Tamandua tetradactyla: one gene and its partners. The protein of the gene in region 1 interacts with the protein of each later gene in a biochemical or structural test. Links are inferred from orthologs where the notes say so. Each region holds a gene or a part of one and is shown in the gene's direction. Other genes may lie near its edges.

Region 1 (7,021 bases):
ACACTGACCTCAGTATTGTTCTCATGCTAATATTTCTCTAGGGTTTGTTTTCCCTTTTATTTCTGGATCATGTTGAAATTTTATGGGAATCCAACAGCCAGAGACTATCAAATGCAACCATAAGTCCAACACCTAAAAGCCATTGAGGATATTCACTGACATTTCAGAAACAAATTTGTTTAGCACCAAACTCAGTCTTATGAGTTATGAGATATTTCCTAATTTTTAAAGGACTATAAATTATATACTAAAGGTATATATCTACATTACGATGGAGATACGAAATTATTTCATTGGTAATTTTCCTAGTGTTGGAGATACTGCTGACTGGCTACCAGAAGCCATTCCCTACCTGCTTCTCCATTGCCTATTTCCAAAGAAGAGGCAAGAATAGTCAAATACTCTTGCCCCAAGCTTCCCTTGAAGTTGAGGGTTGCAATGTGACTGTTCTGGCTAGTGAAATGGGAAGAGATATTTTCTTTCCTTAATAACAGATGGGAGAGGAGCAAAAAATGCCTTCCTTACTCCCATTTGCCCTCTTGCTTCCTGATTTTGAATACAGTTTGGTATTTGAAACTGTGGCAGCCATAGTGTGATGATGAGGCAGCAAGCTTGAGGATGAAAAGCTAACATGTAAAGGATGGTAGAGTGAAAAAAAAAAAAAAACCTAGGTTCCTGGTAACAAAGTTGAGTAGTTGAACCAATGGTAGCAACCACCTACCTCCAGATTCCTTGCTACATGAGAAAGATACCCAAACCCCTAATTCGTTTAAATCACTGTTAGTTGAGGATTGTTATTTATATCTCAACACAATCTAAGTGATACACTTAGTCACTTTAAAATTTTCTTTGTGGAAACTAAAACAGAACTAAATTGACACCAGACCATTTGTACATTGGGTATAAATACATTGAGTATTGGGTTTTTGGAAGAAATCCAGAAAAGAGCTAATTTCATTAAGAAGTCTTAGTTATTTTAGTTTAGATGCATAGAACTACCTCCAGCCATAATGCATAGTACAAATTCTTAGGGATGTGTATTACAGAGGACTTCTTCTTTATGACAAAATACCACACTTGGGACTAGGAGATCTAGATTCAGATTCAATGTTTAGCTAATTATGTGACGTGGACATCTATTTGTCTTTGAATTTTTCACCTGTCATTTTTAGGATGGTTTCTTTGAAAGTAACAGGGAATTCAACTCAAAATGGCTTAAACAATTAGGGAATTCATTGCCTTATATAACTAGGATGTCTGGAGGTTTGGCTGAACAAGGAGATCAATAATGTCATTAAGGACACCGTTTTTCTCCATCTCCCCCCCTGCTGCCCTGAGTTCCACCTTCATGTTATGCCTGCTTCCTCTCAGGGGTACTAGATGACTGCCAGCAGCAATTGAGGCTGCCTCTTTATTCAAAGCCAGAGTGGTGATTTTGATGGGGGTGTGGGGGGTGGGATGAGGAGAAAGAGGGTGTTGGAAGTGATGTTGGGGAAAGTCCTGAGCTTTGTGCTGACCAGAAGACCTTGAACCATTCAAAGCCATGGCCATGGAATGCCAAGAGCTGAATAAATTAGGTCAATCTTTGTGACAAAAGGGCTGGATTTATTAGTTTAATGAATCAGGATCCACTTTTCCAGGTGAGGTGATTACAATCCCACCTCAAGTTCATGGCCACTATCCAATGGTGGAGGGGAAGATTGGCTCTTGGGAGAGCAACCACCATATCCCCCCACATCTGAGGGAATAATGAGGAAATTGGACTAGCTCTAAGGCTCCTTCCAGATCTAAACTCATGATTCCATGAGCAGAGAGCATACCTACCTCGCCTTTTTTTTTCCCCTTAACCTCTACTTTCTTTTCTGTTTTACCTTATAATTGTCCTTTTCTCCCTTTGAGCATAGGTCCCTGTGAAAGATAAAAAACCAAAATGAAGTAGTCAACAGCCTTGGCATAGTTCCCATTTGGGCTGGGAAAAGGAAGTGAAGTCGACAAGGTGACTTGTTAGGGTTGTTGTGCACTTCAGGGCAGAAGGGAGTGACCTATTTATTGGGGGTGAGTGATTTGGACTTGTACCTTAAAGAAGGCCTATGTTTCGCAGGCTCTGGAGCTCCCCTCCCTAGAGAGTGCACAAGCTCTTTGGGAAAGGAGGAAAGCAAAGCCTTCTTGTGCAATTATAATTTTCCTTTGATCCGCATTGTATAAAGGGGGACTTAGTTCCTAGATCCTTAACGCTGGAAAATTCCTCAGCTGCTTGAGGGAGTGGTCGAGGCTTTGCACCAAATACCACTGAAGCGAAAAAAAGGCTGTGGATCTTCACCCACCCCTCAACTTTAGTAAACATTATATTTTTAAATTACCACACTGAGAATTTTACCACATGATTTCTGAAAGCTGACTTATGAAGTAATTGGGCACTTCTGCTGTGCGGAGGAACAAAGACTTTTTTTTTTTATTGCGCTTTAACTGTGAGATATATACCTGTCTGATGGTTTTTGCTCATTCCGCACATGCTCAGTTGAACAGAAATCTTCATATTTGAATGGAACCTAGCTCAGTGGCAACACGCAGAACCGCCTTCCCTGGCTGACCCTGTGCATCCACTCCCTCTAGTTGCTTTTTTATCCTGATATGTCTAACACTTACAGGGAGTATAGGCAGCAGACTAGGTGCTGGGGGTTTGAGGGAAGGAGGATATACAAAAGGGCTTAAAGTCTCAGTATGCCCCTGCATTCCTGAGCTCTCTAGGTGTCCATACTGCGGGTAAGAGCTGGATAGGTATTTGCTGAGTTTGGAGCAAAAGGCGGGAGAAGCTGTCTGTAGAAATTACCGTTTGTTGTTGCATACCTTCCCAGACGCTTTTTGTTTGGTCCTTTTCTTGTAAGTGGGCATACCCCTTCTCCCAGCCCTCATCTTCATAAAGGAAGTAGAAAGTGGCACTAAAAGCATCCGCCGCCTGGCACAATCTTGAGTGACACTCTCTCTACCTGTCTTCTTTTTTCATACATCAGTATCCTTTCCCTGCCTCCTTTCTAGCAAAACTGGGAAAGGCTTCCTGCCCTTACAAAAGAAAGGGGGGTGCATAAGTGGTTACGAGCCCGTCGCAGCAGACAGCCGAGAGCGTGCGCACGATGGTGGGCCTTCTGTCCAAGACTCCTTTTGCGGCTTGGTCGCAGGCAGGGCGTGGAGGTGATGACCCAGACAACCCCTTCCTCCGCAGCTGCTGCCGGCGAACCCCGCGGGCCAACCCCCCTCCCACTCTAGATTCCCGGCGCCCGCCAGTTAGCTGTGACGTGGCTCTGCATCGAGCGCATGCGCCGGCCAGTCCGGTTCACTTCTCTCAGCCACCACCTCCCAACCGGCTGGAGTGGGCGGGGTCTGGGGTTCTGGAAAGCCGCGCGGCCGAAGAGGGAGGAGGGTGTGTGCGTGAAGCCGTGCGCCGAGCTAGCGAAAGGTTCGGTGGCTGAGGCACAGTAGGAGGAGCAGAAGGCGGTGGCTGCGGCTCCCGCCCGCACAGAGCGCGCGTCTCACGAACCTCCCTCCCACTCTAGGGCGGGCGGCGGCGGGGAGAGGAGGAGGAGGAGGTAGTGGAGGAGGAGGAGGAGGAGGAGGGAGCGTCTCTGCCACCGCCTCCTGGTCCCCAGCGCCGAGCTGCCGCCACCTCCCTCCGCGGTGATCTTCCCTCCATGGTCCTGCCGCGGCCCCCCCTGTAGCCCGAGCTGCCCCGCGTCGCGCCGGAGCCGGCCTCGGGCAGAGGGAACGGCCGCGATCTCGCGGCCCCCGAGGGCTGACGAGCTGAAAGCGGGGAGGTGCGCGGTCCCTGAGGATCCGCACTCCGGGCAGTGCGGCCCCAGCAGCGCGAGGAGCGGCGGGCGGGCGGGCGGCGTCGGGCCCGGGCCGCCCTCACTCCGCGCCCCGGCCCCGCCGCCCGCGCCGGGGCGGTCGCCCGCAGAGGCAGGCTCCGCTGCAGTCTCCGGGCCTCGCCGCTGCGGCCCGGCTCGGGCGTACTCAGCACCGAGGGCTCGCGGGTCCCGAGGGGAGGAGACGATCTCCGGGCCGGGCGCTGAGCTCTTTGGCGCCCCCACCCCCGTTTTCGGAGGCCCACTCCCCACCTCTGCGGCCCCTGTCCTCTTCGGACCATGGCCGACGACGACGTGCTGTTCGAGGACGTGTACGAGCTGTGCGAGGTGATCGGCAAGTGAGTCTCCACGCGAGGCAACGGGAGTGTGGGAATATGCATTTCAGGGATGCCCTGGTCCTCCCGCACCCGCTTCGGGCCTGCCCCCTGCCCTCCCAACCCTCCACCTCCCTTATCCTCCTCACCCACGAGTATTTATAGAAGTACCTGGACCGGGGTCTGGGGTTCTCTGCGATGTGTTGAGGCAAACGAGGCGATGTCGGGCACATGAGGCGCGGGGCGGCAGAAATCTGCTGCCTGCGTTTTATCTGATGGTTGCACAGGGACGTGGCAGAACCGATTTTATAGTTGTTTCCTGGGAACAGTTGGGCTTATTGTTACCTTGAATGTAGCACAGACCAGTAATGAAAAGAGCAGCTTGCATTTCCTTTGCTTGCATGGAGAGGTAGACGAAGAACGTCCAGGATTTTCAACTATGGGGTGTGTGTCTATTGTGCAGGATATTAGATGCCTTTGTGCTCACCCCATGTCCGGATTGGAGGGGGTCATTTAAGACGGGGTGCGTTTAGTTTCAGCAAATTCCTCACCTAGCGTAGATGAACATGGGAAGAGTTGGAGACATCGTAATTTCTAATGCCTCATTTATACGGTGACTTTGTTCGAAGCTTTCCTTGAGTGTTGATGGTGGTGGTGGTTAGCGTGGTAGAGCTGTCTGCTTTGAGTCACCCGGCTGGTCTAGAAGATAGAACTGACAGTCCAAATGCTCATCCTTTCATCTTTGTTGTATAATTACACTAGGGAAAGGCATGGAATCAGATTAATCACAGTGCTGATTGAGAATTAAATCTGCAGTTCTTCATCTAATTGTCCATTCCTTAAATCTGTTTTGAATAGTTTCCTTTTCATTCTTGTCAAACACTATTCCAAGTGCACAATTCTTGGAAGGGAAATGCTGGCAGTTTGCTTGTGAGAGAAATGCTGGCTGGCAGTTTGAAGTTGATTTCCTAGTTCAGCGTTGTGTTCTCTGGCTTTAGAAGTTGGGGAGATAAGATTTAAGAGTAATTTTGGCTTATTTAATAAAGATTGCTGGGTAGCTACATCGAAATATTTATTGCCTATTCAGAGGTCTGTATTTGGGAATTGAAACCTTAGAACAGTAGGCTCTATTTCTTTTAAATTGTCTGCAGTACTGAATTTCAATTTGTTTAAGTGCTGAAAACTCATTTTTTTCCTTCCATATTGAGGTATTACAGTTTTGCATGAAATGGTGAAACTGTGAGTAGAGGTTGCTACACACTTTACTCACACCCAATTGCCAGGAGGACATGTTACTCCTTGCCCCTATTGTTACATGACCAGCCTTTCTACTAGAAGGATATACAAATATAACCCGGTAAAGTGGTTGAGGAAGTACTCTAGGGCAGCACTGTCCAAAGATATAGAATGTGAGCCACATATGTAATTTAAGATTTTCTATTAGCCACATAAAAAAAGTAAAAACAGGTGAAACTATTGTCCATAAAATATTTTATTTAACTCAATAAATCTGAAATGTTATCGTTTCAACATGTAATCAGTATAAAATTTTTTTTACTTCCTTTCTTTTTCTTTCATGTGAAGTCTTTGAAATCCAGTTTATGTTTTACATGAACAGCACATATCAATTATCATACTAAGCTAATTTTCTTTTCGAAAATACTTTATCTGTATTTAGGTTTCATAAATTTTACATTTGAAAAAGTAGATTCACATATCTAAGTTGCTCCAAACATACTTAAAAGTTTTCCAGTAGCAGAATTGAGCGTGTGTTTCTAAATTTAAATTTAAATTATTTAAAATTAAATAAAATTCAAAATTCAGTTCCTCAGTCAGATGTTTCAGGTGCTCAGTGGCCACATGTGAATAGCACCATTCTAGAGAGACAAATATGCCAGAAATCTCCTTGGTTTCTTTATTTTTAGGAGCACCCAGTGAAGGTAAATTAGGTGTTTCCCCAAAGCAGCAAAATGACTGTGTGTGTGGGTGAACTATGTTTGTTGCATCTTAGTTATATCTGATGTAAATGCGCCAGCAAAGTCATAATTGGAAAAGGTGAGAATAAAATGTTGGTTATATTGTGATGACTGAAAATAGCCAGCATTGAATCAATTTTGATAGCTAGTTCTGATTACTTAACATTTTTAAGAGTGGTGATATGATATTTTAGGATATTTAAAATAAGTGATCAGCATCACATTAGCACAATCAGTATTTGCTGACTTAATTGATAGAATAGTTTTAGGAAACACTCCTGGTAGAGCCAAATCCATCTCTTTTGTGGTTTTGAAGCTGCTTGAGGAGAGAGAGCAAGCTAATTTTGAGGTGATAGGCATTCTATGGCTACCTTGACTACTGTGATCTGTGAAATCTTGTTCATATCCTACAAAATCTGACTTGGTCAGTTCCATTGACAATATGCCACTCCGTGAATAATGAATTCCAGGTAATCTTATTGGTAACGAATGTAATGATAGTCTTCCTTACCCCATGTAAAGGTTGAAGGTTTTCTAGTAAATTGTCTCAGCATATATTGATCTGAAAATTGAAATTCACTTGAGATTTTCTTGTAGGGACAGTTGACAGCATATCATTTTAACTTAGGATTTGTTCAACTCTGAATTTAAACAGAAAGGCCTTGAAGATGCTCACTTGTACTAAAAACATTTTTGTTGATGTCTGTCCAAGGTCTGTGGAATTTTGTTTTTCTTCTATACCAAATAAGTACCATCAGTTGTTTTTGACCACTAGGGTTTTAATAGCTTTAAATTTTTACTAAGGCCTCTTTAAAATGGATTTAATTTCCCAAGACTAGTTGACCACCCACTCACTCCCCTGCTTATCCAC
Region 2 (7,367 bases), on another chromosome or scaffold:
CAAGCCAGTGGGAGAAATTTGAAATTAAAAATTATGAAAATGGAGAAGTGGCAAGTGAACTTTTAATACAATCAATTTAAGTGATTTTCTCAGGAAAAAAAACAAAAGCTGTCAACACATATTTCTAGAGTAGTGGACTTGTTACACCTAAGGACACAGATTTAGGAGTCACTGTAGATTGTTCCTGGCAGGCAGTGACTCACTGTGCTCTCACAGGGAAACCAGATGAAGAAAATGGTATGGGAAGCTGTCCTGCTGTGTAAAAGACGGAGTTTTTACGGGATACTGTTTGCCATCTGGTCAACAAACTGCAACAGAGAAATAGTAGTACTCCTGAAGATCTAGAGGGGGTAGCCGAAACAGGCAAATGAATACAGAATCTTCCATGTAAGAAAAAGGAGATTTAGAAAATGTTCATCTCAAATCCAGAGAGATAGAAAATATGAAGAGAAAATGAAATTGCACAGATATAGTAAAATGTATTCATTAATTCGGCCATAACACCTGGGTGGGTGTCTATAGGGAAGTGCTGGAAGGTTCTTTCCTTGGCCTGTGCAGGTCAAAAATTCTTCTACATTTGATAACATAGTTACCAAATTTGCAAGATGTAAAGCTCAGGAGAATAACTATTGTATGGCTGAGAAAATAATTGAAAATCATTAAAAAAAAGAGGCAAAATATAACAAGATTGAGTTTAGTAAATATAAGTATAAATATCTTAATTTAAGTTTTGAAAATAAATTAAGAGGAGGGAGAGAAATGTATTGAAAATGTATTTAGTTGGAAAAGCCATGAGGTTTTTCTTGGCGTCAATTCAGTGTGAGCTCTAATATGTTCACATGCAAACTGAGATGTGCAACTTATAATATTTTGACCTTAAGATGAATGATTAGATATAGAGTATCCATACTAAGGGAAATTAACAGCCCCATTGTATTTTAAATTTGTCAGTATTGTGGTGTTCTGGAAAACATATTATACAAGGAATTGATGAGGGGGCAAGGACGTGAAGTTTGGAAAAAGACATCTAAATGTTTGTCTTTATTTGCACTGTTGTTTTTTAGATGAAAAATAGTTTATAGCTAAAGAGCCTCAATCCTTCATTCATGTATTCATTTAGCATTTCTTTTTTGAGCATCATCTACAGAATAGGCACTATTCTAGGCACTGAACATGTTACAGTGAACAAAGCATGCAAAATCCCCACCCTCACAGAGCCTATATTCTAGGTCACATTTGAGACAGAGGGACATATGAGATGAAAGTGTTGTCTGCTTCAGATCTGCACTTGATCCTTGTATATTCAGAGGTGACCATAGCACATGCTATTCAGAATCTTGGTCTGTTCATGATTCCAGAGCATCGCTCATTGCTAAGTAGGCTTTGGCTTGGTGCTGCCACTCTTCTGCTGTGGCTGCTGGTTATCTACCAGGATTCCAGGCATCTGCCCTTCTTGGGTGTCATCTTCTGTGCCAGTTGCCTTCTGAGGCCCCGCTAGTCATTACAAGAGAAGTAACCTATCACTTTGATCCCAAAGCTGTCTGGGTTCCACAAGAAAATGAAAAAAACAAAAATCACTCTCACTTTTTTTTCCCACATTGGTTTCTTAATTTGCATATGCAGTCCATGGGCTGAGCTGAAGATAAGTTACGGTTGTGTTCTCTTCATTTCCCCTAATTGCCTATCCTGGGCCCAATTTAAGTTCGGTTGAGTTCATTTGTCTCATTTAGAACTTAAGCATGATATTTAGATACTGCCTAATTTGTTTTCTTTATATGCTTAATATTAACACTTAATATCCAGTAAACCAATGGCAATCATAAGGTATCCCAGCAGTGGATAAGAAATAACACAATTGTTCTCTATAATAAGAGCTAAGTGCAGAAATGAAAGAAAAAATATATGTTTAATAAGCACGTAATACTAATTTGTATTGCTAAGTATAAAGTTGAAGAGATGGTTGCTTTTGTGTAATGGAACTGCTCTGTACCATAGTTATATTGGTAGTTACACTTATACAGATGATAAAATTTCATAGAACTATACCCTCTCCCCCCCAAAAAAGAGTGCATGGCAAAACTAGTTAAATCTGAATAGTGTCTGTAGTTTAGTCAATAATATTATGTCAATATCAATTTCCTGGCTCTGAAAATTGTACTGTGATTATGTAAGATGTTAGTACTGGAGGAGGCATGGAGAAGGGTACCCAAGAACTTGCTATACTATTTCTACAACTACTATGTGAGTCTAAACTTAATTCAAACTTAAAAAAACAACTTTAAAAGGCAAAAAAAAAAAAAATCCAAACTTGCAGACTGCCATGTGATTGAAGTCTCTATCTCTTATTCCATTTGTGTCTGTATATATTACATGGATATATATCGCAAATAACTCAACACATATACTTCTTTGACACAGTCAAGTTTTACTGACTAGAAAGCCGTAATATATTTACATTGCTTAGAGATTCTGGATGAATATATAATTGAAGATAGTATCCTAAGCTATATATTAAAGCATTATAATGCATAGGTTTTTATACAAAATTCAGGTAAATAGATCATTCTTGAGTTGAAATAGATGGCAGTAGAATACTAATATAAAAACTATATAAATAAGGTGACTGGAGCCCATTCTCTGATTTTATGTTTGCATTATTGCAGTAGCAAAATATTATTGAATCTGAATAACTCTGAAAAGCACCTCACAAATAGCACATACTTGCTCCATGGATCTAGTCTCTTGATAAAGAGTTATAAGACATCATAGATGTGTGTTAATATGATTCAATAAGCAAATAACTCCTTCATAATTACAATCTTAGTTAAATATGTAAATTAATATATGGTTTCAAATGATATTTGGTTTATTCTTATAATGCCTTCTTCCCATCAGAGGTTTTATTTCCATTTCTTTTTATTTCTTCCCAGGATACCATCATGCTAATTACCTTTCCCCTAGATAGTTCCATAGGAGATTTCCCAAAGACAAGTTGAATTAAAAAAAAGAGCTGAATAGCACCATCTTATTCTCAAAGTAACCTAATAGCTATTAAAGCTTGTTTACTGGCACTTATTCAAAAGGGCAGATTCAAAATCAGTCTCCAGTTTTGTTTTGTTTTTTTAATTCCCCAGAACCTCTGGGCTAACAAAGCGCATTGTTTATCTATCAAATAGATAGATGTATCTCCACACCTGACTGCTCCAGGGAGAAGAAACTTGCTCTGGATAACATTTTGCTACAACAGCTTTAAAATCAGAGAACCTATTTATCTGCAGTGTGCCCTATATTCTCTATACTCCCTCCCCTTGAATAGAGGACAATGTGTTCAGAATTTAAAGTGGTGATCATCTATGTGAAGTTCTAAATTATTCTATTCAAATAGAAAGCAAGTAAGATTTTCATAGGTATAGGGGAATGTAGCATAGCTTTAGAAACACTTCACATTACATGCAAAAAATGGATAATCTTTCATTATGAAAGAGAGCATTAAAGATGGAAGCCACAGGATAGGTTTTCTGTAAATCAGGAGCCGTAACCAGCTACTTGTCTCAAGTTCTAGCTACAAAAAATTCTAGAATTGAATATGCATGACACCAACGTAACAAACATATTTGTTCAGTTCAGTCAATTCTGTTAATTTGCTGAAAAGAATTTAAGTGAATCATTTAGCATCCTATAAACAAAACAAAGGGTGGTAATTGCGTGAATTATTCTTTTCAATGTATTGAGTTGGCAACATGTGAACAAAGGCAACGTGTGTCTATACTTTTGGCTTAAGTAATTAGTTTGTTACAAAATGAGATTTTAATTTAGAAAACTACTTCTCTGGTAGTCTATAAAATGAACTGAGGAAGAAAGAGACTGAGAGCAGAGAGACCATTCAGAGAGCTGTGAGGGGAGCATGAGAATTTCAAACAGGGCAATGGCAGCTAAGGGTGAATAACTGATGCAGAGGCAGGACCTTCTGGTTGCAGGTGAGGTGGAGGAAGAGCCATGGATGTGACTTAAGGTTATGGCTTGGAGGACTAAGAGGATGGCAGTGTCAGCAAATAGTAAAGAAAAACAGGAAATGGAGCAAGTGTTGGTGGTGGAAAAGCAAAGCCTTTTTATTTTTATTTTTTCTTCTGATTAAATACATTTTACAGCCATTCAAATAAAGATGTCTAATAGGCATTTGGACTTCTGGCCTAGAGTTCAACATCCAATTTAGGGCCAGAAAGTATGGACAATGGGAAATAATCTCCAGTACTTAGATTATTATGAGAACTCCCCACATCAAAAAGAAAGATTAAAGGGAAGAAGTCAAAGAGCTAGGAAAATAGGAGTAATTCCAGAAGCAAATGAGATTGCAGATGGAAATGCTTTGGTAATGGATAGTGCTGATGGTAGCACAACATTGTGAACGTAATTAACAGCCCCGAAATATATGTCCGCATGTGATTAGAAGGGGAAATGTTAGATTCCATATATGGTAACAGAATACATTTTTTAAAAAAATCCATGGACGTAAACTACGCAAACAGTAAACCCTAAGTTAAACTATAGACTGTAATTAATAATACAATCATAAAAATGTACTCTCATCAATTGTAACAAATGCACAGTGCTAATATAAGGTATTAGTAATAGGGTGGTATATGGGAATCTTGTATTATATGCATAACTGTTCTGTAAACCCACACTTCTCTGATAAAGAACAAAAATGAGACTGCTGTCTCAGATCAGAAAAGGTGTTTACATAAGAAGGGCAAGTTTAGTTGTTAATATTAGTGTAATGATATACAGAACTAGTGTGCTGATTAAGAATACAATTATCGGGCGGGCCACGGTGGCTCAGCAGGCAAGAATGCTTGCCTGCCATGCCAGAGGACCTGGGTTCGATTCCCGGTGACTGCCCATGTGAAAAAAAGAAAAAGAATACAATTATCAGTGTGTGATCATGAAAATGTAACAATTCTTCTCTTCTCCAAGAGGTCACCTAAAGTCAGAATTGAGTATCATGTCTTGGAGTTCACTAATATCTGGTGATACAGGAGATTAGTTATAAGAGAATGAGGAGAAAGTGGGTGATGACACATGAACCTTGGGAGACTACATGTAGAACCTTGGGAGAGCTGCATGTTCAAGAACTTTGGGAAGTCAATGAAGGAGGATATAAGCAGATTTTCAAGCATGCATCTTTAAATTGCATGTTTATATCTTGCAAATAAAATCTTGTTCATATTTTGGTATAATATTGTAGTATAATTATTTAGAATAGGAGACACCTTTTTGGTTGATAGATCAAATAACTTTAAGAATTCTATGATAATAGCAAGATGGTTTCAGTACCACAAACAAAACTGAACTTTAAAATAGTCTGCAAAAATATTTGTGAGGAATATTTTCTGCTATATTAAAAAAAATAGGAGAAACATATTTTTAGTTATGATAACATCAGACTTTCATTACAGATAGGAGAAATAAGGTGAGTAAAAGTAGAAGAAGATTAAGTTTGATATTCTCCTCAAAATCATAGATTTAAAAAGAAAGAGGAAGGGAAGGAAGGAAGGGATACAAGGAAGGGAGGGAAAGGAGGGAAATATGGGAAGCAAAGGAAGGGAAATTCAAAATAAACCTTTGGACCAGGCTTTAGTGATTTTAAATTCCAGTAAAAAACTAAGATTTTATTTAGTACAAAGTAGGGATTTTCTAAACTTTTTGAGTTGGGAATTTTTATGTGATCAATACCATATTTTATATTTCAGAGGAATGAGATGGAAAGCAGGGGGGAAGACTGGGAAAGTATTACAATATCTTATGTATGAAATTGAAGAGGCCTTAAACCCTGGAATAGATATGGGAATTGAAAGGAAGTGAATATCGATAAAGAGCTGTAACTAGGGGTCACTAATGAAAAGATAGGTGAAGGTAGAATAAATCCAGCCAAATAATTTAGGGAAAGCGGGATACTGGAAAATCAGGCAATTCTAAATTGAAATATTTCCAACTCCATAGATTCTAAAGACATTTGGAAACAAAAATCTTTGGGAGGTTATAAATATAATAGTAAGTTTGCACACAATAGTATCAGTACTCTAGTAGCACATGGAATATCCAAAAGGTTTACCTGGACAGAAGAGACAAGAGAGGTAAGGTCAATTATAAAGGAGCCGATAAAAGATGGTAAGGAACTCCTAAACTAGTGACGGTGGGAAACCATTACCACTCCTAGGATTTAAGGAACAAGTGGAAGAAACAGTATTGTCAGCACTGGTCACAGCTAGAGCTATAGAGGGGTCCTGAGAGCTGCTGATCATCTGTTGTTGAACTGCATAGGTGGAACCCAATCAAGAATCACAGAGCAAGGAGTCTGAGCCATCCAGTCTGTGGGAGTTACCTCCCCTATTCCCCAGGTTTCCAGAAGGAAAGAAAATGAATCCGGGAGGCTGAGAAAGCAAAGCTTGACAGCAAAATATCCACCATGGAACTTATGGTTAAAAACAAGAAAGTGAATGATTTTACTTGTGAAAGGGTAGGGGGAGAAGCATCATCTTTAGTAACCCATAGAAAAATAAAAAAAAATCCATTGAAGGCAATCAAGAGGTGATCAGAGACTCAAAGAAAAATGTGCAAACTACAAATGTCCTTGAATAAGAGAGATTCGATGAGAGAATGACTGACTGTGGGATGTTGAAGGAAATTCAAATAACCACACCAAAGAAAGTTGATTGGATCATCAGTCAGCTTTCTGAGTTTTAGTGCAAAAATAAACAAATTACTGGGGCTTTAAGAGAGCAAAGAGGAAGAGAGGAAGGCAGAGCTATCCATTTATTAATGAAGTTGTCAAATGGAAGGGAATAGAAAATTAGAACTAGTTATGAAATGGAGGAACAGAATATAAAAAGGTTTTCTTTTTTTACCCATGAAAGATGAGATACAAATATACTAGGGGAAAAATGGCTTCTGTAGACTCAGGAAGAATCAGTTATTTTAACTCTCTCTGCGTACCTCAAGGAAATATTACTGGATATTAATCTTGCTATAGAATAGTTAAATAGGAAGCATAAGTATATTAAATTGAGAGAGAATAAAATCATTATTAATGTTCAAGTCAAAGAATGCATTAATATCACATAGTGTAAGGCTGGCCAAATCAAGACTTTCACATTTTGAAAAGGCACAATTTAAAGATGACAACTTACTTTGCTATTATTGATCCACACCCTAAATAAAATTCAGTAGTTTTGTTGATATTGTGTGTATGAAAGCGTTTGGCTCCACGTTTCAAAAGAGATGTATTCTAGGTACTTGGCAAAGAGCATATTCCCAAATCCACTGCTGCTTAGTACTTACCAAAAACTTAGGAAAAGCAGTGTTTCTGG
Region 3 (7,043 bases), on another chromosome or scaffold:
TTCCAGTGTCTGCTGGTATACCTGTTCCAGGCTGGCTTTCAATCCTGGTTCTGACAACCTTAGAATTCCATTTCTTTTGGGAGACTGTGTACCAGTGTACTACAGGAAAGCACATCTTCAGAGTCAGAGAGAGCAGGGGTCCAGACCTGGCTCTCCTGTACTAGTTGTGTGACCTTGGGCAAGGCATTTCACTTGAGAGCCTTGAGCTGTGAAATCTGTGAAATGGGGTCATATGTGTTATGAGGGGTTGTTGTAAGAGTTGGAGACAATGTAAACAACATACCTAGTTCAATGCCTGAAACATGAAGGAGGGGGCAAAATAAATAGTAACTGTTATTAATTCCTTCCCAGGATAAGAATTCCAACTGTGGCCTCCTTGATGGAAGCTCTTGCTTAGACAGTCCCAGGGATAGGAAGCTTACTCCTCCAGGGGTAGTTCTGCCTGGAAAACCTTCTTCCTTAGATGCAGCTGAGACCTGTCCCACTTTTGCCTCTGGGGACACAGTGCATGCTGCTCTGTGGCCAAGGGACAGCTCTGCAGCATTTTCTTTACAAAATCTCAAGAGAGCTGATGTACTACAGGAGCAAGGCTCTGGAAATCCCCAGCCTGCAGCCTGTTTCAAAGGGTAGATTTTAAGTCAAGCTTACTTAGGTCTCAGAAATCCCTTACCCCATCCCTGTGGAGTTTGGAACACATGGATTTTATCCTTTTGGGTCCTTTTTCCTAGATGAACTTTCCCCGTTTCTTATGAACATTTCTCATAGAGGTACATGGGAGAACCGAGTTCTGATCCCAAATCCATCACTTCAGGGCAAGTCACCTATCCTCACTGAACCTCTGGTTCCTCATCTGTGAAATGAGGAAAATTATACTACCTTATAGGGTCATAATGAGGATTAGCTCAGAAAACTAACGTGAAAGTTCGGGATTTAGAAAAGGTATTTGGTATATATTAAACACGTTTTCTAAAAATACATTTTTGAAAAAGAGGTTAGCAGGTAAGCTCATCTGGTGTTGTTCCTTCGCCCTTTATAATACCTCCAAAGGAAATCGTTCCATAAAGTACATGCCACTCCTGGCTTTGGAATGATGCAAAATCAGGTAATTTCATCTGTAAAGAGTCTACTCAATTCCAGGCTCATGTACATACCTTATTCTGCAGATGGGGACAGAAGCCCAGAAAATGCCCAGCAGGTCACAGTGGTCACGGCAGGACCCCAATTCTTCCAACTCTCAGCATTTTTAACCTCCAGGACTCTCTTCAGCAGGAGGAAGGTGAAGGGAGGACATTCTCTGGGCCAGACCAGTTGACCCAGGACTGGGATTCAGCATTCATTATTCCTTCAATTAATCTTTGCTGAGCACCTCCTATGTGTGGGACACTACATTTGGGCAAGCTCTGTGTTACCCCTCTCTATAACTTGTGTCATCGTGGAATGGTTGGTCTGGAACTCAGCCTTGGTGAAGGTCAGGGTGATTCCATCTTTCTTACTCCTGTATTGCCAGTGCCTGGCACCTGGCACAAGGTGTGGCACAAAGGAGGACCTTAGCAAATACATTTTTAAAAATGAATGATGGTTTTATTGAACATGACTGTGCGACAAGGTTATGTGGCAGGAGAAATTCTATCTAATAAGCCTGCTAGGCTGGTATTATGCCCCTACTTAATACATGAAGAAACAAAGGCTGAAAGAGGTGAACTGAGTGGCCCAAGGCTTCACCTTGGTTGGTGGTAGAGCTGAGACTGGAGCCCAATTTTTAACTGCCTCAGGCTTGAGCTGGAGCTGCTGCCTCAGAGCTGTCAGGCAGGGCTTTGGGCCTCCACCCACTTATTTCCTAGCCCCAGGCAATCCCAGATCTAATTGAAGACTGGTGAAGGGCTGACTTTTTTTGAATGGCCTCAAGGAAACCAGAAATACTAATTCTGGTCTAGTTCATAGCTTTGATTCTATCACCTTTCTGCGCAAGCATCCAGGCTAATTAAAAGCAAACAATCCAGGTTCAAGTTCCACCTTCCCAATTTTCTGGTCATATGGTTTTGAACAATTACTTGGGCCTTTTTTTTTTTAAAGCTTCACTCACTTCCCTCTTTTGCCTGATTACTGTCTGGGACCCCCAACTTCTGAAGGGCCAACTTCTAATAAAACTGTAGGGCAATGTGGCTCACTCTCCATAAAGCCCTGTGGCTCATAGCAACCCCCTGGGAATGGAGAAAAGGTATTTCCTGTTCTTTTCTAAGGACTCCTAGGGAGGCTGACATCTCTCCCCCTAGATGGTCCCACAGTAAAGGAAAGGTTCTGAGGGATCCTGCAGGGGTGAGCCTCCTCACTGGCAGATGAGGAAGCCCGAGCTCACCCAGACAATCAGGTAGAGTGGACTGGCACCTAGAGGTCCTGACTTCCAGATAAGGACTTTCTCCGTTGCCCCATGTAGCCTTCGCTACTTTTCCTCATCGATTACCATCCTTCCACCTGGTTTTTATAACCCAGAGAACGCTTTGGGACAGAGATTCTAGTCTTGCTGTGCGACCTTCGGAAACTCCAGGCCCATTGGTGAAACGGGATCCTGGCCTTAAAGACATCTCGTCTTCCACTCAGCAGAGTCCATGCTCCTTGACTTCAATGCTCTGTAGCAGAGAACCATTTTTCTGCTTGCAGGGCAAGTGCCGAACCCCGCACTGGCCAGGCACCTGCAGCGGGCAGCAAAAGGACTTGTTCATGCTCGCCCCTTCGTATTCAGCTAGCTGGCCATCCGTTCAAGGGAAAACGGAACTCTCCTACCACCACAGACATGCTGCACCTCTCCCCATCGCAAAAACTTCACTCTGAGCGTCGTTTCTCCCCCAGCCCTTCAAACAGACACACATGGAACCGCAGACGCAGGCGAGAGGTGGGGGAGGGCTGTGCGCGTGCGTCGGCGCCGAGCCCTCTCCCGCCCACGTGCGCGCCCCCAAACGGAGGCGCGCGCACCGCGGCTGGCTGGCGGGAAAGCGCGCGGGAAGCCCCCAGCAGGCTCCCAGTGCGAAGGACCGAGGGTAGGAGGCGTTTGGAACGTGCCACTCTCGGAGAGGACGGGGGTGGATTTTCGTGCTCCGCTATCGTTCCCACCTTCCCATCCCACCGACCAATCCGTTAATTTCCCCCGTCCCCTGCCGCGATTTAGCGTCCTGCGCCGCGGCCGCGCTCCCCCACTGCAGTCTGGGGCCCGGCCGCAGGAGCCAGGCTCTCGACTGAGCTATTGCCGCCGCTGCCGAAGCGGGGCGCTACGTCGCGCTGTAAAGCCGGAAATTCCCGCGGCCTGAGTGGCGGAGGCGAAGCCGAGAGCCGGCACCGCCTCCCCTCTTCTCTGGACGGGCGGGGGCGTTGGGCCCAGCTAGGGCCGGGCTGCCTGAGGGAGGCAGGAGGCGGGTACCGCGTCCGCATAGAGCAGCCGGGCCGGCGGCAGACAGGGAGCGTAGGCAACGCGGCTGCTCCTCACTAGCGGCTCAGCGGGCGGGGACACCCTGTGTCCCGGCTCCCGGGTCCCCGCCCCCTCCCGGTCTCCGCCTCCTTCTCACACACCCCCCGGGCGGTTCGAGCCCCAGGCCTTCCCTGTGCTCTTCCTCCTCTTTACAGTCGCCCTCCGGCCCGGGTCCTCCGGTCGCCCGCCTGTCTCGCTCCATCAGGGCGAGTCCTCGTTCTCAGGCTCTTTTTACACACACACACACACACACACACACACACACATACACACACACACGTACGCACGCGCGCGCGCGTACTCGCTGGGCCGTCCCCTCCACTGCGCGCCCCCCCTTCTTGCTAAGGCCACCGTCGGGGGAGGATTGATGTCCCTTCAGCATCATGCAACCGCCGCCGAGGAAGGTGAGGGCGCAGCTCGGGGGCTTTGGGGCTTTGGGGTTTGGGGGGCGGATGCGTCCAAGGAACGCGGCTGGGGCAACCGCTGAGTCCCCTCCCCCTTCTCGCCAGGGCCGTGACCGCCCTCGCCTCGGGCTTGTCACCGAGTTGTCGTCTGCTCCAGGCTGGGGAGCGCGTGTGAGTTGCCCTTCCGACGGAGGAGCGGCGGGGGCTTAACCCCTCCACCGCGCTGGAGACCCCCAGGCATTTCACAAGAGTTTCGGGTGTGCATTTGTGTGTGCGCGCGCGCATGGCAGTGCTGCCCGCTGCAAAGTGCATTCTTTGGGCTGCTCCGGAGGGAGGCGAGGGAGCCCCTGCAGTTTTGCAGAGCCTTCTGCGTGTGATTGTGTAGTCTGCATCTGGTTTGAACCCTCCAGCCGCTTGTCGCACCCCTCTGCATTTCCAAATTTGCAGGGGGGTTATATCAAGCCTAGCCTTATGGTTTGGCCTGCTTTTCCCATGGGGCAGAAGAAAAGAAGTTGGAATAGTCACAGTCTCCCTTCCCAGGGAGAAACAAGAAATTAAAGATTGACCAGTCCTATCTTTCTCCACCCAACCCGCCCCGCCTCCCGGCTGGGGGTCGAGGAAGCGGTGGTGCTGCTGCCTCCAGGAAAGGGAGGACAGGGCCAAGCGTGGCGTAGGCACCACGACCTGGGCATGGATAGTCCCGATGGGAGTGACGGCTCCTCCGGGCTTGTCAGTGGCTTCCCGGCTGCGCTCTTCGCGAGCTGTTTCACTGCCTCCTTCGCCAGGGTTTGCAGGGGGCCGAGGCAGTGTCCTTGTCTTTTTAATTCTGCAGATGGTTACTGAATGTCTACTCTGGGCTCTGGAAGGAAGGAGGCCGATGTTCGGTTCTCCCCTCGTGGGCAAACATTTGCTGAATGCCTGACTCGTGTCTGCTTCCTCTTCTTTCTCTTTCTTAATCCGGGGTTCTCCAGTTACGTGTGCCCTTTTCTTTCTCACACTTACCCTCACCACTCCCGGTAGTCTTGTTCTGGCGGCTGGGATATTCCAGATCCATCGTAATCTCGAACCCTGGAGTCCCGGCCTGGAGGGCGGGGTTTTGGCCAGCTTGCATTTGCTGTGCTCGCTATTTGAAGTGGAACCACCACGGGGACCGTCTAGCTGGGTTGACTTAAAAGCACTGCAAACGCTGGAAGGTCACTTTTGCTTTCTCCTTTGTGAGAAAGGGATTATGATTTGATGTGCTGTCAGCGAGTCGAGGGCATCATGCTGAGAAAGTGTGCTTTCTCACAGCCATTATGGAATAATTCATCTAGTCGATGCACATTTTATGATTGTGTAAATTTCAGTTCTTAGGAATTAGATAGTCTTATTCTCCCTTCTCCCATACACACTCTGCTTAGCTTTTCTGATGGCTGATGTCTTTGAATCTTTTTTTTTTTTGGAAGAAATAGAAGACAGGCTGTTTTAAAACCATGAGAAGACTTAAATACTGAATTTGTGCATGCAAAGGAATGACTGGCAGTTTATCTTGCACGTTTTTAAGCTATAATTTTTATACTTGCATATATCAGGGGCTCATTAACCCTCTCTTTTAGGTTGTTAGGCTAGTTTTTCATTAAATAAGCATCTTCAGTAAATAATCATTCATTAAATAAGCATCTTCAGTGATTAGCAGTGAATGTTTGGTCTTCAGAGGAGAATTGAGTTTATAGTCTGACAAATATTAAGTATATTCTTAAGTAATTTTGTTGTTATTGTTCAAGTTCCAGTAAGGCTTTCATAAATAAATGGTATATTTTAGGTGAAAGTTACACAAGAACTGAAAAACATTCAAGTTGAGCAGATGACAAAACTTCAAGCCAAGCATCAAGCAGAATGTGATTTGCTTGAAGATATGAGGTAAGGTTACAGTAAATAGTGTGAGAATTGTATCTCTGTTTCCAAGAACCTTTGAGTTACCAAACCCCAGGAACTGATGATATAATTTCCTTTTGGATTTCCTGCTTGAAGGTTGTTGGAGCTTTGACTGAGCTGGAAATTATAACTGGAACTAATACAATAAAAATTTTTTCTTCAGTGGGGGCACCCTATAATGTACACAGTGTTCAAGGGTCTTTAAAAGTTTGTCAATAGAATGATAATCTTTGATGTAGAAATTATTTAAATATTTTCCACTGAATTGTAACAATTATTTATTGACTTTAAAAATTTTAAGCAGTTAATTTTTTTTTAAAGCAGTTCTATTTACACACCATATACTCCATCTAACAATCAGTGGCTCTCAGTATAATCAGAGTTGGAGCAGTTAGATTTTTAAATCAACATCTGTAGTTAATGGTTAATATCTGAAAGTGTGCCAGTCAACCCTTGATAATTATTTATTAAATACTAGCACTATTTGTTGGAATGTGACAGATGTGATCTCTGAATGGTAAATTTAGTGGGAAGGTAACATTAAAGTTACCTGTTTTCATAATTAGGATAATGTTGAATTTAATTTTGCCAACATTGTGAAAATCAGTCACTCTTTATAAAGGGAAGCCTGACTGTTTTTAATGAAGGAATTCCCACTTATTTGTAGTTAACAATCCTATAATATAGTCTGACCATTCAGCCAACTTATATTTTGAAGGGCGAAAGATGATTGACATGATGAAATTGAGTGGCCACAATTCTTATTTCTCTTTATTAATACATTATTCAAATTGGAATTGGATCTGTAAGCCACATTGGTTGCCTATCCACTAACCTGATTTTGGTTTCATAAAAGAGTATTAACTATATATTGCTATGATAAATGTGTTTCTATTGCTAAGTTCTTTGTAGGCTGAAGATTTTCAGTTCCTTTTTTCCTCCCCTGTATGTAATTCATATACTACTTATGAGCTTTGCTGCTGCATACCTTACTTTTCATGGTTTTTAACTCAAGCATGTAAATCTAGTTTCATCCAAACTTGGATATACCAAGGTCATTTTTTCCTGAAAAGTACTCTATTTCAGTTTTTTTTTTTGTTATTCTCATGGCCGCAAGGAAATTTTTAGACTTAATTCCTCTGTAAGGAGAATTCGAAGTTCTTAAGCTCTATTAAGAGGACTAAGGTATTTTAGTATAAATCTCTAGATGAAGAAAATAATCAATTTTGAGAACCAGTTCAGGAAGGCAAAATTAAAATTAGTAT
Region 4 (7,815 bases), on another chromosome or scaffold:
TCTGCCATCTTGGCCCAGGCCAAGTCCCTGGTCTTCTGCCTTGTGTCTCTGCCCAGCACCATCCACAACAATTCTCTATCTGGAGCTCACCCTGCCCTTTGGGGCCTGCCTGCATCTAAATTAGTTTCTCAAGCTCCATCTTCCTGAATACAGTTTCCTACCCTTCAGTAACCTTGCTCTATATATGACAAAGGCACACAAAGGGCATAAGGGAGAGATGTTTCTTAGAGAAATGCCTCTGTGTATCCATCTTCAGCCTTTACTAGGCCTGCTATGCAGGTAGACAGGAGGAGAGACCCTGGGAAGAATTTCAAGGTCCCATTGGAGTCCCACCAACTCTAAGAAGCCTTCCTCAAAGATTCCAGCACACATCTTCAGCTTCTTCTTGGCCAAACTCTCTCTGGGTTTTTCCTCTGCAGCCCAAGTCTTAGAGTTAATCCTACAGTCATTTTGTTGCTGTCTGATTTATGTGTCTCCACAACTGGATCAAAGGCTTCTGGAAGGCAGGGTCATGTTGTATAGAACATATTATATTAATTTGTCTGGCATTGCACTGTGCCTGGATGCTCCCTGCCTACCATTTCCAGGTTTCCAAATTATCGTGCACACTCCTGCCATGGCCATCTTGCTAAATATAGACCTGAAAAGGCCATTCAGTCTAGACCCATCTTCCAAGCCTTCTGTCTCTACTCTATACCTTTGCTTATTTCATTACCCTCACAGTTCCATCCTCACCCCATCCAAACTAGTTGAAAGCTTACTCTTTCAAGGTTTTTCAGGCCTCTCCAAATACTGACTCCTTTCTAGAGCTTTTAGATATTCCCATTAGAAGTTATCACTTCTTGATATTCCTGTAGAAGTATTTTCATACTTTATTTTTTAACATGTAGTACCCGCACATGGTAGGCCTTACAAATACGTTTAAAAAAATAACACCTTCTGTAAGTGGTTAATTCTTCTATGAACATGTCTGTGCCCCGCCCCTCCAACTAGGCTATAAGCTCTATTTTTCTCTGCACTTCGTGTGGGCCCAGCCAAGGTGGAAACAGTAGACATTTGATGAATGCATACTGAATTAAATAGGTATGCAGTAATACTTGTTGAATGAATAAACTAAACTTCTAAAATAAATACTAAAGTGGGTGTGCCAACTCAAAAAGAGGAGGTAATGGTGACATTTCTGCTTTACTTAGTACAAGTGACCCCAAAAAAACAATTTAATCCAGTTTATGCTTGCATAGTGAGTCATGTAACCAATTCACAGGAAGGGCAAGGGTACAGTAGGATATCAGGAACAATTTGAACCCAGATTCAATTTCTGCCAAGGCTCTTCAGCTGTCTTCTCTGTCTCTCTCTGCCTTTAAGCATCATTCTTTCCTACTGCTGGATGTCTTCTTTCACATGACAGGGCACACGGCCATAACTTCACTTCTCGCAGTGCTCACTTTTGGAGGGCTCCAACCAAGCCTTGCTCTCTCTTTGGTATTAAGTTAAAAAATTTCAGGAAAAAAATTGTTCTTGGTTAGGGTCAGGCAAAGTGTGATCTCTAATAAAATAGCAATTCCCATGTTATCAGATTAGAAAGAGCAACTAAAGAACTGGGTAGGGGTGTGGGGAGGGTGGTTGCCGTTCTGGCCAGACAGAACAACAGACACCCACAATAGGGAGTAATGTCATTTGCATTCAGGGAAGGTGGGCCATGGGACTTAGCAGAAATGGCCCAGCAGTATCTTGAGCCCTGCTCTGGGGAGGCTCTGAATCTGGCTGAGGACAGCTGGCTAAGTTAAAGAAGCAGAGTACCTGTTAAGTCAAGAGGACTTTGACAGCACTAAGAGACAAGTAGGGCTGCTGGTGGGCTGCGGAGTGCCCAGCCAGAAGCAAGCCAGCAATGAACTTCTGATGCCAGAGGCAGTGCCTTCCCTCTGGGGAGACAGCTCTACTTTCCCACAGTTAGTGCTTATATTATATTTACGGATAGGTTTATTTTTACCCATTCCAGACCTCAAGCCCCAAACCTACTGCTGGAAGAAACAGGCACTGAGGCTTCTGGGTTTCCAAAAAGCACAGGCTTCAGTGTCTGGCCCAGTGCCAGAGACCCAGCTGCGGTTAGTCCTGTAGTCATCTAGACCGACCCACCTCTCACATCGCTCTCTCCTGTCTACAAGGGAGGTAGGGATGGAGGTGAAGGAAATTGTCCTTTGCCCATCCCACAATCACCCCGCCAGTGAAAGGTTAGCACTGGGCTCTGAGAGGAGGGCCCTGACAGTTACGGTAGAAGTCATATCCTGGCCTGCCCATGAACTGTGGCCGGCAGGAGGGGGAAACACGTCAAAGCCCTCTTGCAACAGCTTCTCCCCTGCAGGGCTGGTTCCCTAGAACCAAGGGACAAAGGAGAGGATTTTGTCTTTCAAATCAGCAGCTAGGAACTGGCATAAGTTTTTAGCCCCCATATGCCAGGCAGCCAAAATAGACTTCTCCTTTAGTGGGACCACACATCTGGCCTAAATTGTTATTCCTCCAAGACAATTTATCGAACAGTTAGGCACTGTATTCATGCACAGCCACTGCAGACAAGCTTAAAATATACGTTAAGACATTAGAGCCATTTCAGAGACTGGCTTTCTCATGATAAAGATGCAACTGACATTCATCAGGTACTAAAATGTCAAGTTGTTGCAATCCAGTAGGAAGCCCAACAAGCCATTAAATTTGAAGTTCTGTTCGACTGATTCCTTTCCGTTCATTCCAATGCTTCCCCAACAGCTGATTTTGACTTCTGAAGCTGACATTTTGGTAGAACCTAACAAAATCTCACAGGGCCCCCTGTCTTTCTGAGCCATCATTAAAATGGGGAGAACTCCTAAGGCCAGAGACCAAGCTCTTGAAATGCCCGAGGGATTGGACCAAAGAATTTGAGAGAGGAGTGGTGCAAATGAGAACAAACCTTTCATGTCCCCCAAGTTTCTGGGTGAGGACTTCAAACCCCCTAAGGAGGATTACTTGGAGAATAATTCATGGATGAATCCCATCCCCTCCACCCCTACCTTCCTTCATCAGGACTGGGCTGGGGAAGAGAGACAAGCCCAGGCAGGAGCTTATTTTAGTTCTGCTTCCCAAGGTATTGATTCAGGCAATCTCAAGTACCACATTAGGGAGCTCAGGTCTGAGCTTGGCACAACCAGGCTAAAAAAATTAGTTTTTTTTTTTTTTCTTTTTTCTTTTTGGTCTGTTTAACTTGCCTTAGCTCAGAAATAGGATGTGGACGAGTTATTGAGAAATAGTAGGATAGAAGATAAAGAGAGGAAAGAAAGGCCTCAAATGTTAGGTAATCAGGAAGGCTGCTAATGGGCATAGGGTATCCAGACCACTGGATGGTATTCACAGCTCTTTTTCTCCATGTGCAAAATGAACCCTCCAGAAGGTTCTGTGTTCTGGGGAAGCAAAGGAGGACAGGTGTGGTGGTGGTGTTGGGTTAGGATCAGAGAGGCCTTTTCCCAAACCCCTGTTAAGAAGGTTGGGAAATTGTGGTTGGTCACCTTCTTCACAGCAGAATTGGCAGCTATAAGCTATGTCATGTATGCTTAACTGCCTCCCATAAGCACATAAATAGGATTGCATGTGTGTGCCGTGGTGGGTGTGGGAATATATCAGTCAATGAAGATGCATTGTGTGAACCAGTTGATGGTGCGTGTTTATACTTGAAAGCTGTAAGGTTCTATGCAAAATCTATGGGTGGCACTGTTGCACAATGCTGGTGGGTGTGTGGCTGCGGGGGTGTGATTAACAGTTTATTGGCTGTGTAGAAGTGTGCATGGACAACTGCAAATTAAAGCGTGTATGCATGTGCATGGAGTGTGTGCAAATTAAAAGGGAAATGTATGCCAGACTATGATACAAGTGCTAGAAAACACTTGGGCTTTGGAGTCAACCTGACTTGGCCTTGAATCCTGGCTCTATCATTAACCAGAAGCATAACCTTGGAAAAATCACAGGATCTTCAGTTGCCTTGCCTATGAAATGAGGATAATAGTAAGTACCTTTCAAGATTGCCTTGAGAATTAGGAATAATACCTTGAATGCAAAGTTTCTGGGGTCAGAGCTGTCAAGTAGCAGGATTCAAGAATAGGTAGCTATCATGTACTGTGTATGCACCTCTGGTAGGTGCAGAGGCAGTTGGGAGGAAAATGTGCCCCAGAAATGTGTGTGTGAAATCTGGGTGAGGAAGTGCATACTAAAAGTTGGGTGTACAAAACTGTATTATGTTTGCATGTATCCAAACATTCCTTCTCCTTTCCCATTGAGCCCCATATCCAGACAGGGGCAGTAGGGTGGGAGCGGATGGTACAAGTCTCTGTAGGCCCCTTGGGTTTCGGAGTTTCTGGGTCCTGGGTCTAACCAAGTAAGAGGTTGAGAAGCTGGTAGGAGCAGCAGGAAGCCAAACGTCTGCAGATGCTTCCTTTTTTTTCCCTCCACCCAGCAACGGTTGAATAGCCACCCACATTCTCTCCGCTTCCCCCCCCCCCCCCACCTCCGCTTTCCTTTCAACAAGTGAGAGCAAGGGTGGGAGGAAACTCGAGGGAGGAGAGGATTCCTTCCCTTTCTTTCCCCATTCCCCCTTAAGACAAACCAGGAAGCAGCTGCAGCTCAGAACCAGGCCACCTTAACAGTAGAGTAATGGTCTGGCCTCTCGCCAAGTCCCACCTCTGTTCCAGCCTCTGCTCCTCCCCCTTCTCCTCCCTCGCTGCTCCCGGAGAGCTGGTGAGCAAGAGTCTGGACGGAGTTGGCAGGAGCTGTTGCCATGACACGCATTTTCTTAAGAAAGCTCTGCTGTTGAGACCATCCAAAGCTGGGTGGTGGTGGTGGTGGTGGGGCCCGAACTTCCTGGGGAACCATCCGTCCAAGGAGGGCAAGAGCAGACACCCGCCCAGCTCCCCAGCACCCGTTTTCTTCCAGGAATCTGAGAGGTCCTTCCCCTAGGCAGGGCCGGGGGAGGAGACCCAGCCCACTACCCGGCCCCGGTAGGGAAGGCGAGAAAGCAAAGCCAGCATCTCTAGGCTGGTTGCCAATTTGGGGAGGCCGGTGGGTGGTCACCTCCATCGTACCCCCGTCCATGGAAACCTGGAGGGAGAGTCTCGCTTGGAGAAACCTGGATCGTTGCTAGAAAGAGAGGTAGGCTTGCAGAGAATGAATTGACTGGTGACTTGTAAACTTTGTTTCTTTCCTCTCAATCTTTTAAAAAACTCCCTGAATTTCCTCTCCATAGTGTATTTTATGTGATTGGATTTGGAGATCTTGGAGTATTTGTGTAATGTGTTTGTGTGTGTGCACAGATTTGCTAAATATTTGTTTCCTAGACTTGGTTTGGGGAATCTATATAATCAAACAAGTGATTTTCTTTTTCTAGTTTTTGTCATTCCTGGACTGTGGGGGTAGGGAAATGGAGGGAACGTCTTTTCATACCCAAATTGAGCTCTTGGAAAAAGCATTTATTTTCTCCATCCATTCTTGCCTCCCCCCTCCCCCCTTGGCTTGGGAATGAGACGCAGAATGGAAAACTGTTGCAAAAATATTTTCCATGTCTGTTCCCTGTTCCCTTTCTCGAAAGCCCCAAAGAGAGATGGAAAAAAAAAAATGCAGAAGATTTTCAGCAGAAGGAGGAGCTGCAGTGGGGACCTGGAAAGGGGCATACTGGTGGGGGTGGGTGGGTGGGAGGTGGGGGCTAGGAGAAGTTGGGGTGGGGGGAGATAGAAAATGCACAAATTAAATTTGTTTGACTTTGCAGAGAAACCTCAGCAGTTTCTCTCTGCCTCTTGCAAAACATCCTTAGACTTCAAGTCTATAATTAGCTATGGAAAAAGCTGGGAGTTCCCTCGTACTGCTGTTGTTTGACTGTGTGTGAGCATCAGGAACCAACTGTGTGAGTGTCTCAGAAGGGCACCACCCCAAACAACTCAGTTCCCAAAGGGGAGAGAGGAGAAAGGGCTGAAGTTGTAAAGTTTGCTGTTTTAAGGCTGCTGATTGTGGGGCTGGTGAGTGTTGGGGGGTTGGGGGTTGGCAACAGGCGTCCTTGGGAGGGTCCCTGGAGCGTCATGGGCCGCTGCGTTTGTCTTGTTAAGGAACTAGAAATTAAGGCTGGGATTCTCCTTCCTGCTGTCCCTTCACACACACACACACTCACACACACTCACATACTTGGCTTGGGGTATGGGGGTCACTGGCATCCTCCCTGGGGTGAATCCAGTCCCATGCACTCCTCCTGCTGAGGAACCCCCGCTCCCCTCCAGCTGGGTATGGAGGGCACAGGAGGGGCTGCGGCCATCCTGGGAGTGGAGCGGGCACTCTGCTGGCCATAGGCGCCTCCCTCCTGGGCATTCCTGATAGGACTTACAATAACTTGCAGACATGATGCCAGCGCCTGCTGGCCTGGTCCGGGGAATGCCAGATGAAGAAATTAGGCGGGCACTCAACTGATGCTGGTGGGGGTGGGTGGTGGGTGGGAGGGGGGTGGTAAAATCCCATTCCACAGTGCCATCTCCAACCTAGGGTGGGGTGCCTGGCAGGGAGTCTTAAGATCCATTCCTCCGTCCCTCCGTGAGCCCCTCCTCGGAGCTGCCCTGTTCATGCCCTTCCTCATCTCTAGGCCCTGTTCTTGGAAGGAAGGGAAGATGTCAGGGGCATTCCAGGCTGGGACGGGCAGGGGAGGGAGGCCTGGGAGGAGGGAGGGCCCGGGTGGGGAGGCCTTAGGAGGAGGAAAGCTGGAGGGGCGGGGTAGCTTGGACCGATCGAGAGCCGGCTTACCCTTCCTGGCTGAAGGTGGTGGCATCACGCAGCTGACTCTGGCGGGCTGGTGGCATGGTGGCAGCAGGGTAAAAGGGTGCTTTGCGGGGTGGGTCCTGGAACTGAAGCAGACGAGTATGTAAGAGGCAGGCTGAGGGGAAGAGAGGAGGAAACACCTGCCCTTGCCCCAGTCGGAGAAACTGGGGAAGAAAGAAGCAAAGATTTTGAGGAAAGCTTAAATGGGGGACAGGAGAGCAGCAGGAACCAGTTTTCATTTGGAGGTGTTGGATGATTGATCGGACTGCACCCCGGGGCCAGATGATCTACGCTGCCTTCATTCTGATCAAAAGATGAGTGAGGCCTTCCTTGGGGAGAGGGTAGGCGGGGAAATCCATTCTTTGCTCCTCCTAGGGAGCCCCGTCCAACCTGCCACCATCTTGCAAAGGTACAACCCTGAAATCATGCTGTTACACCCCCACTTCTCACCCCCCCCCCCCCCCGCCCGTGTGCGCCCATCTTGGGGATCCAGAATCGCACCAGTCTGCAGCCTGAAAACAATACTCTGACTTGGGAGGTTGGATTCTGGTAGGTTAGTGGGACTTCTGCCAGAACCCAGCCCTGTGGAACAGGTCCTGAGTTAGTGCCCTGGGTGGGGGGGCTGCAGTGGAATTTGTGCTCCGCAGCCCCAGCCCTTTTCACCAGTGACTCCAAGCAGGATCAATACTGCAGCAAAACTGCGTCCCCTCCCCTCTCTGCCTCCCGCCCCCGCGTCAGCCTCTCCCGCAGCTGGGCGCCACACTCCCTGGCTCTGCCTTCATCTAACATACTCTGTTGGAGAAGGTGCTGAGAGCTGCAGAGCTAAAGTGTCTTGCTTCTCAGGTGGCTCAGAGCCCACTCAGTCACTTCCATTCCCATTTGCCACCTCTGTCCTCGGATTCAAGGTCAAGTAGGAAGAAGTCCTGGTGGTCTGTCTTACTCCTTTGCAGACTCCCAGTGCCTAGCACAGTGCCCGAGACTTATAAGTACTTGCTCCATCTT

Evidence for each region.
Region 2: the proteins of CASK (region 1) and CNTNAP2 form a complex in vitro, tested with the Homo sapiens proteins (2 studies listed by BioGRID and IntAct, with this or other methods). The link is inferred for Tamandua tetradactyla from reciprocal best matches to the Homo sapiens genes CASK and CNTNAP2.
Region 3: the proteins of CASK (region 1) and FCHSD2 form a complex in vitro, tested with the Homo sapiens proteins (2 studies listed by BioGRID and IntAct, with this or other methods). The link is inferred for Tamandua tetradactyla from reciprocal best matches to the Homo sapiens genes CASK and FCHSD2.
Region 4: the proteins of CASK (region 1) and ATP2B4 form a complex in vitro, tested with the Homo sapiens proteins (2 studies listed by BioGRID and IntAct, with this or other methods). The link is inferred for Tamandua tetradactyla from reciprocal best matches to the Homo sapiens genes CASK and ATP2B4.

Annotation. Positions count from the first base shown.
Region 1 is NC_135353.1:130,139,248-130,146,268, forward strand, and holds the start of CASK (peripheral plasma membrane protein CASK), read left to right. Parts: upstream 1-3,970; 5' UTR 3,971-4,139; coding exon 4,140-4,198; intron 4,199-7,021. UniProt on the Homo sapiens protein: Multidomain scaffolding Mg(2+)-independent protein kinase that catalyzes the phosphotransfer from ATP to proteins such as NRXN1, and plays a role in synaptic transmembrane protein anchoring and ion channel trafficking.
Region 2 is NC_135327.1:191,131,782-191,139,148, forward strand, and holds the start of CNTNAP2 (contactin-associated protein-like 2), read left to right. Parts: upstream 1-4,231; coding exon 4,232-4,369; intron 4,370-7,367. UniProt on the Homo sapiens protein: Required for gap junction formation. Required, with CNTNAP1, for radial and longitudinal organization of myelinated axons.
Region 3 is NC_135334.1:72,922,718-72,929,760, forward strand, and holds the start of FCHSD2 (F-BAR and double SH3 domains protein 2), read left to right. Parts: upstream 1-3,873; 5' UTR 3,874-3,912; coding exon 3,913-4,035; intron 4,036-5,665; coding exon 5,666-5,763; intron 5,764-7,043. UniProt on the Homo sapiens protein: Adapter protein that plays a role in endocytosis via clathrin-coated pits. Contributes to the internalization of cell surface receptors, such as integrin ITGB1 and transferrin receptor.
Region 4 is NC_135330.1:60,978,839-60,986,653, forward strand, and holds the start of ATP2B4 (plasma membrane calcium-transporting ATPase 4), read left to right. Parts: upstream 1-4,733; 5' UTR 4,734-5,169; intron 5,170-5,753; exon of another isoform or gene 5,754-6,029; intron 6,030-6,798; exon of another isoform or gene 6,799-6,899; intron 6,900-7,815. UniProt on the Homo sapiens protein: Calcium/calmodulin-regulated and magnesium-dependent enzyme that catalyzes the hydrolysis of ATP coupled with the transport of calcium out of the cell. By regulating sperm cell calcium homeostasis, may play a role in sperm motility.